2 linked regions of the Macaca fascicularis genome follow. The protein of the gene in region 2 purifies or fractionates together with the protein of the main gene of each other region. This does not show direct contact. Links are inferred from orthologs where the notes say so. Each region holds a gene or a part of one and is shown on either strand. Other genes may lie near its edges.

Region 1 (3,916 bases), on a different chromosome or scaffold from region 2:
TTTACTAACCAGATTCTTTGAGCAGGGAGGCAGAATACAATAGAGAATTAGAGATGTTTGCATCCTGGCTGTAACCTCACTAGCTGTACTGCTTGGGATATGTTGCTTTGCTTCTGTCAATAAGATGACAAGAACGGTACCTACTCCTTAGTATTAAAAGATTAAGTGTGCTAACAGGGAGAGGGTCAAACGTTTGTTGTTTTATTACACAGCAGGACATCAGGTCTTACTTTTGTAGCTCCCCATCTCAAAGACAGGGATGGCAAATGTTTCATTCAGGAAAAAAAATCCAGGTTGAACAATGGGGCTGTTGGGGTGGGGCCAAGAACATTCTGCTCGAATTAACAGTATTAATGGGCCTGGTGAGGTGGCTCACGCCTGTAATCCCAGCACTTTGGGAGGCCGAGGCAGGTGGATCACCTGAGGTCATACATGGGTGAAAACCCGTCTCTACTAAAAAACCAAAAATTTGCTGGGCGTGGTAGCGGGCGCCTGTAATCCTAGCTACTTGGGAGGCTGAGGCAGGAGAATCGCTTGAACCCAGGAAGCAGAGGTTGCAGTGAGCCGAGACCACGCCATTGCACTCCAGCCTGGGCGACAGAGCGAAACTCTGTCTCAAAACAAAAAGAAAAACAGTATTAATGGAATGTAGTATAACCCTCAAGCCCTACTATTGACACTTGGGGCCGAATCCAGACCCCGTCTTCCCGCTCGGATTCAGAACACCTTCCTGACTCCCTGGCCCTAGGGCCGCAGCTACCTCGGACAGCATCCTTTTGGGAAAATACCGCCCACTAGCCCCACGACTGGGAAAGAGTCGGGCAACGCCCCTCCCCTCAGCTAGGGCCTGCCGTTTCCTAGTGCTTGCCCAGCCGCCCTCAGGTCACCTTCACTACCGGGCCAAGGACCCCGTGGGAACTCGCAGCCCTCGCCACACCGGTTCCTCGCGCATCCATGGAGTGCCTAGAGAGAAGACCTGCATGGCAAAAACCTAAACGAAGAGATGAGAGGCATGGAGAGGAGTACGACAACAGAAGAAAGATAACAGTGGGAGGAGACGTTAGTTTCCTTTATCCGTTTTGTTACTGGCGGTAGCAGGGAAGTTAGAAACGGTTTTAAAACAAATTTCAGACAGGCATTTTCCAAAGGCAAGCCTGGAGCGCACGGATCTGTACAACCGCGGAAGGCCCCGTTTCCGGTCCCTTGCGCCTGCGCTCTTGCAGCCAAGAAGGCGGGAGGCTGGAGTAGGGAGAAGCCTGCAACCGGAAGTGAAGGCAGATTTCCCTCCTTCGTCGCTGTTGCTGCCGCCATACGCGCTCTGCCTGCTTAGGTAAGCTTTGGCGTTCACTACAATCCGTTGCCATCTGCGCTTCTTCGCACCCATCCCGTCACATGGGTTCCTGATACCCTTTTCACAGGCGATCGTCTGGTCTCTGGGGCCTAGTTGGTTCCCCATTTCCGTAGCTTGCATCCCTTTCGAGAGCAAAGAGCTCTTGGGGGAAGGAAGGGAAGCTAAGGGGGGGCCCAATCCAAGATGGTGTCCTCGGCGCCATTGTGTTCGTTTTGCTCCCTTCTTCCAGTAGGTTCTTTTCATATTGGAGGCCTCAGCATCAATGAGAGGCGGCGCTAGGCGTCCCTTGGTCTTGGTATTTGCGGAGGGCGGGGCTCTTATCACCTTACTTGTCCTTTCTTGAGCCCTTTCTTGGCCCACGGTGGGACTGGGAGGAGGAGCCGGTTTTTGGGCCCAGTTGGATTTTTCTCACCTTGACTCGCCCAAGTTAATTTGGAGTGCCTTACAAGTGTTTACTACTGGTGTCATTGTATGTTTCTCCAAAAGGAGTCTCACCTTCGTAGCGCAACAGTGATGTCAGACCACTTGGTAAAGATCCTGTTAAAGCCTGGGCGGGGATTGCCTTTCTCTGTCAACTATTAACTTTGTTATTGTAGGGTGGAGACATGGATTTTTTTTTTTTTGGTGGCCGAGCCATTTGTCTTGCACCGCCCCTCCCCCCCATGCTAATTACACAAGGCTTTCTTAAACAACGGAAGAGAGGATACTGAGAAGTGGGAGGCTGAGAGCTATGGGAGGTGGACGGCGGCCATATGATGTTTTCTTTTCGAAAGATGAGCGCTTTGCGCAGTGATGACCCTCATCTATCACCCTTGACTGATGGCTGCTGAGTTAGGCATCCATAACGGTGGGATTATAATAGGGAAAGCACAGTCTTCCTTTGAGGACTTTCCAGGACTCTGCTTGTCATCTCCATTTTCCACTTTACTAAGTTATTAATCATATTTTATCTTTTATTATCTATTATATTTCCTCACTGTTATTTTCAGATTAAGAATTTATAAGTTGGTCTTCCCCTTCCAACTTTTCTGGTTTCCGCTACTGTGATTGCTAATCTTGTTGGGAACCTGTGTCCTAACCACTTTCGCTGGTGCTGCTTTTTCTGTTCTCTTGTATTTGCTTTTCGTTTTTATGTTGTGTATCTGTTTTTTTTTCCATGTAAAAGTTTCCTAGTTTAGGGAAAGTGGGAACTGGGAATGGAAAAGAGGTGGTGAAGGCTCTGCTCGTGACTAAGTCTTGCTTTTTTTTTTTTTCCCCTTCCCCAGCTCTTCTGTTAGAAATAGTATCTTTATTTTCCTTTGCTGTTCCTCAATCCCCTACTCTTCACCCCTTGTTTTCACCTGTTTTGCGAGAACCCATCCAGATCCCCCTTCCCGTCTTCCCCTGCCGGCCCAGTTATGGCAGAGAACGATGTGGACAATGAGCTCTTGGACTATGAAGATGATGAGGTGGAGACAGCAGCTGGGGGAGATGGGGCTGAGGCCCCTGCCAAGAAGGATGTCAAGGGCTCCTATGTCTCCATCCACAGCTCTGGCTTTCGTGACTTCCTGCTCAAGCCAGAGTTGCTCCGGGCCATTGTCGACTGTGGCTTTGAGCATCCGTCAGAAGGTAAATTTTCTCTTGGGCATGTAGTGCTCATTGGGCTCTTTAAGGGTACAATAAAAAGATGTGTTTGTTGTTGCTCAGGTGGTAAAAGTTTATACTTAAGGCTAGATCAGGGTCAGGTGCAGGGGCTCACGCCTGTAATCCCAGCGCTTTGGGAGGGCAAGGCAGGAGGGGTGGTCACTTGAGCTCGAGTGCAAGAGAAGCCTGGGCAAGATAGGGAGACTCCTGTCTCTACTAAACGAAGCAGGTGAAGGTTGAGGCTTCAGTGAGCCGTTATTGCACTACTGTACACCAGCCGGGGAGACAGGAAAAAAAAAATCAGGAGATAAGTATCGAAAACGATTTTGGATAGAGGAGGATTATACAGACTTGTTCTTTCTTTCATGATAGCACCAAAGTGCTAATTATCCAAAAGTAGCTTCTAGGTCTGCCATTCATTCTTGTGACTGACTTCTTTTGTCTGCTTATTTTTAATTTTGTCATTTGACTTGTAATTTTAAATTTCCAGAAAGGTCCTGATTGGACCTGTAGTCTCCCTCTGTTGGGCCAGGCCAACTGTGGCCTCTGGAAACCTCTATGACTGGTTTAGAGATGACTGGCTTCTGGGTCAGGTACCAAGTCCTTCATTTTGTCCCGGGTTGTTGTTATGTGACCCGAAGTATGGCAACCTAAGTAGGAGAAATGTCTTTAGCAGGTATTCAGATGTCATGAATTGTTACAGATTAAGAAAAATAAGGACAGAGCCAGGAGCATTGAAGGTGAGCGGTTGGTAGATGCAAGGGGGCTGTTAGTAGGACTGGGAAGGCCTAGATCTGGAGGAGGCCAAAGCTGGGATGAATTAGGAGAGTCTGATTTTGAGGTGAATATAATTGAGCAGAGAGAGGTAAAAGGGGTCTGGAAGTTGGCAAGAACCAGGTAAATACTAGATTTTGAGAATTGAGTGGTAAGAAATGGGCTTGG
Region 2 (3,816 bases):
TTTTTAGAATAGAAGACAGTCACAGAGCATAAGAGGGGAGGGGAGATAATTGGGGCAGTATGTATAGATCTTTCTTGCTTTATGTAATGTGACAATGAAAGGGTGAAAAATACAATCATTGCTAAAACATACAGCTAATGAAGTTTGTTCAAAGGTAGAAAGGTGGGAGAACGAATCATATAGGCCTGATTAGAAAGTAGAGGAGGAGGTCAGGCGCCATGGCTCATGCCAGTAATCCCAGAACTTTGGGAAACCGAGGTGGGTGGATCACGAGGTCAGGAGTTCAAGACCAGCCTGGCCAACATAGTGAAATCCTATCTCTACTAAAAATACAAAAATTAGCTGGGTGTGGTGGTGGCACCTGTAGTCCCAGCTACTTGGGATGCTGAGGCAGGAGAATCTCTTGAACCTGGGAGGCGGAGCTTGCAGTGAGCTGAGATCCGGCCACTGCACTCCAGCCTGGATGACAAAGCGAGACTCTATCTCAAAAAAAAGCAAACCAAAAAAGGCAACACCATGGATAAGAGAAAAAAAAAGACAGTAGAAAGATTGATAAGTATGGGAACAATGTACTGTACTATCAATAGAAATAGCGTCAAGGGATAGAGATCTATTCCATACTTGTTTATTTTATTTTTTTTTATTTTTTGTTTTTTGAGATGGAGTCTTGCTCCATCGCCCAGGCTGGAGTGTGGTAGTGCGATCTTGGCTCACTGCAACCTCCGCCTCCCAGGTTCAAGCGATTCTCATGCCTCAGCCTCCTGAGTAGCTGGGATTACAGGCGCCCACCACCACGCCTGGCAGCTAATTTTTGTATTTCTAGTAGAGACGAGGTTTCACCATGTTGGCCAGGCTGGTCTCGAACTTCTGACCTCAAATGATCCACCAGCCTCATCCTCACTAAGTGTTGGAATTACAGGCGTGAGCTGCGGTACCCAACCTTATTTCATACTTAAGATCTTGTTTTAATCCATTTGATTGCTATTTATGAGAGACTCTTGTCAGTCTTTCTCATCTAGTCCTGAAATTTCGGTATAATAATGGGTTCCTCCTCCTTTTAATCTTTTCTTTTTGCCCTACAAACTCACTCGTTCTTTTGGAATATTTTCCCATTTCTTCCTTTCTCAAGAAAGATCTTTAGTATCAGTCTTATCAGATTATCATAGGAATTATAGTGCTCAGCTCAGATTTTCATACAAATTACAGTGCTCAGCTCAGATTATCATACGAATTACAGCGCTCAGCTCAGCTTACCGTACGAATTAGGGTACTCAGCACAGTGCCTAGGACAGTGAAGGGTAGCTGTCATGTTATTTAACACAAATAGCAAGTGATTCTATATTGGAATTAGTTTTAATGTACAGTTTTTCCCAATATGGTTTAATCTTCATCTGGTTGCAATTTCAGAAGGAAACCACACGTAGGGCAGCAATAATTTGATTTAAAAACTAAAAACTTTAAGCCAGCTGTGGTGGCTCACGCCTGTAACTCCAGCACTTTGGGAAGTCAAGGCAGGCAGATCACCTGAGGTCAGGAGTTTGAGACCAGCCTGACCAACATGGTGAAACCCCGTCTCTACTAAAAATACAAAAATATAACTGGGTGTGGTGGTGTGTGCCTGTAATCCCAGCTACTAGGGAGGCTGAGGCAGGAGAATTGTTTGAACCTGGGAGGTGGAGGTTGCAGTGAGCCGAGATCACGCCATTGCACTCCAGCCTGGGCGACAGAGTGAAACTCCGTCTCAAATAAAAAAAAAAAGAGTTTGCTTTACTGTTTAACTAACATTTCACCTTCTAGAAACTCACATCTTCAGAAAATAATCGTGGATGTATTTAAAAATATATCTATGGTTCCATTGTGATATTATTTATCATTAGAACTAACTGAAATGATTACTCTAAAGTTGATTGGATCAAGTATGGCATATTAAAAAGTAATTCAATAAAAGGATATCAAAAACATGGGATAATATTTTCACAATATAGGGGTGTGTGTGCGTTTGAGACAGGGTGTGTGTGTGTGTGTGTGTGAGACAGCATCTTGCTCTGTCACCCTAGGCTGGAATACAGTGTGATCTCAGCTCACTGTAACCTCTGCTTCCCAAACTCAAGTGATCCTCCTGCCTCAGCCTCCCTATTACCTGGGACTACAGGTGCGTGCCACCACGCCCAGCTAATTTTGTGTATTTTTAGTAGAAACGGGTTTCACAGTGTTAGCCAGGATGGTCTTGATCTCCCGACTTCGTGATTCACCCTCCTCGGCCTCCCAGAGTGCTGAGATTACAGGCGTGAGTCACCACACCCGGCCCCTATTTTTTTTTTAACTAGAAAAAAGTATTTACTTATTTATTTATATATTTATTTATTTTTAAATGTATTTATTTTTTGGAGACAGGGTCTCACTCTGTTGCAGCCTAGAGCTCCTGGACTCAAGCAATCCTCTCACCCCAGCCTCCTGAGTAGCTGGGACTATAGGCGTGTGCTACCATGCCCAACTAATTTTTAGAGGTGAGGCCTCCCTGTGTTGCCCAGGCTGGTCTTGAACTCCTGAGCTCAAGGGATCCTCTTGCCTCGGCCTCCCAAGTGCTGGGATTACAGGCATGAGCCACTGTGCCCAGCCTAGAAAAAGTATTTAAATAGGTAAGATATATAATGGAAAACCAAAGTTGGTAATGTCACATGCCGCAGATTAAAATGTGTCTATTGGCACTGGCGACTTTAGCAAAAGCGATTTGAATGGAGTAGGGCTGAAAGTGAAGCCAGATGGCAATATGTTGTCATAAGTAAATTGGAAATGAGATAGTGATTTCACTCTAGATCAGCACTGTTCAATAAAGATTGAGCACATATGAATATATTTTACTTCGCTGAGTATCTCTAAAATATTTCACTATATGATTTATATAAAATCATCAGTGAAATATTTTACCTTGAAATATCTCGATTCAGACTAGTACTTAACTTCAAGTACTCAGTAGTAACCACAGATGGTTAGTATCGACCCTACTGCACAGGTAAAGACTCTGTGGACTGTCCTGTTTGTTGAGAAACTAATGACGAAAGAGTATGGCCACATGTGCGAATCCTCTAGTTATTTACAGTCCGGTATAGCCACAGAACCCTTCCCAATGCAACAGATTGCTTTAAAATGACATATCTTATGTCATTTAAAAAACATAAATCATAACATAATAAAGGTTCATAACTTCCTCCTTCCTTGGAAAATAGAATATCCTGTGACCCTCCCAGCTGAATTGTTAAATTGACATTTTCTTCTCTTTTTGCTTCCTCTAGGTTTTGGTAAGACTAGTCTGAATCGTAGAGGAAGAGTCATGCCTGGAAAGAGACGTCCTAATGGAGTTATCACTGGCCTCGCAGCTAGGAAAACAACTGGAATTCGAAAAGGAATTAGTCCTATGAATCGTCCACCTCTAAGTGACAAGGTAGGATGATGGCTTAATCCTGGATTAGATGTCCTTTTCCATTATTTGTACTAACATTTCTGTGAATAAGCTTAACAGAAAATTTTATTTGTTTTTATATAGTACTTTGGGACTGATATATCAAATTTAATATCTGAATAAAAATCACTGCCATTCATAAAGAATACCTAAATTTCCACATTCTCAAATATAAGTAAGTTTTTTGTTTGTTTTTTGTTTTTTATATGTAGATAGAGCCTTGCTCTGTTACCCAACTGGAGTGCAGTGACGTGATCTTGGCTCAGCCTTCTGAGTAGCTGGGATTACAGGTGTGTGCCACCATGCCTGGCTAATTTTTGTATTTTTAGTAGAGATGGGGTTTCACCATGTTGGCC

The links.
Region 1: the proteins of FYTTD1 (region 2) and DDX39B purify together in Homo sapiens (affinity purification with mass spectrometry; 5 studies listed by BioGRID and IntAct, with this or other methods). This does not show direct contact. The link is inferred for Macaca fascicularis from reciprocal best matches to the Homo sapiens genes FYTTD1 and DDX39B.

What each region holds. Positions count from the first base shown.
Region 1 is NC_088378.1:140,188,939-140,192,854, forward strand, and holds the start of DDX39B (spliceosome RNA helicase DDX39B), read left to right. Parts: upstream 1-1,276; 5' UTR 1,277-1,330; exon of another isoform or gene 1,331-1,879; intron 1,880-2,098; exon of another isoform or gene 2,099-2,176; intron 2,177-2,616; 5' UTR 2,617-2,748; coding exon 2,749-2,959; intron 2,960-3,916. UniProt on the Homo sapiens protein: Involved in nuclear export of spliced and unspliced mRNA. Component of the TREX complex which is thought to couple mRNA transcription, processing and nuclear export, and specifically associates with spliced mRNA and not with unspliced pre-mRNA.
Region 2 is NC_088376.1:1,076,973-1,080,788, reverse strand, and holds part of FYTTD1 (UAP56-interacting factor), read left to right. Parts: intron 1-3,293; coding exon 3,294-3,442; intron 3,443-3,816. UniProt on the Homo sapiens protein: Required for mRNA export from the nucleus to the cytoplasm. Acts as an adapter that uses the DDX39B/UAP56-NFX1 pathway to ensure efficient mRNA export and delivering to the nuclear pore.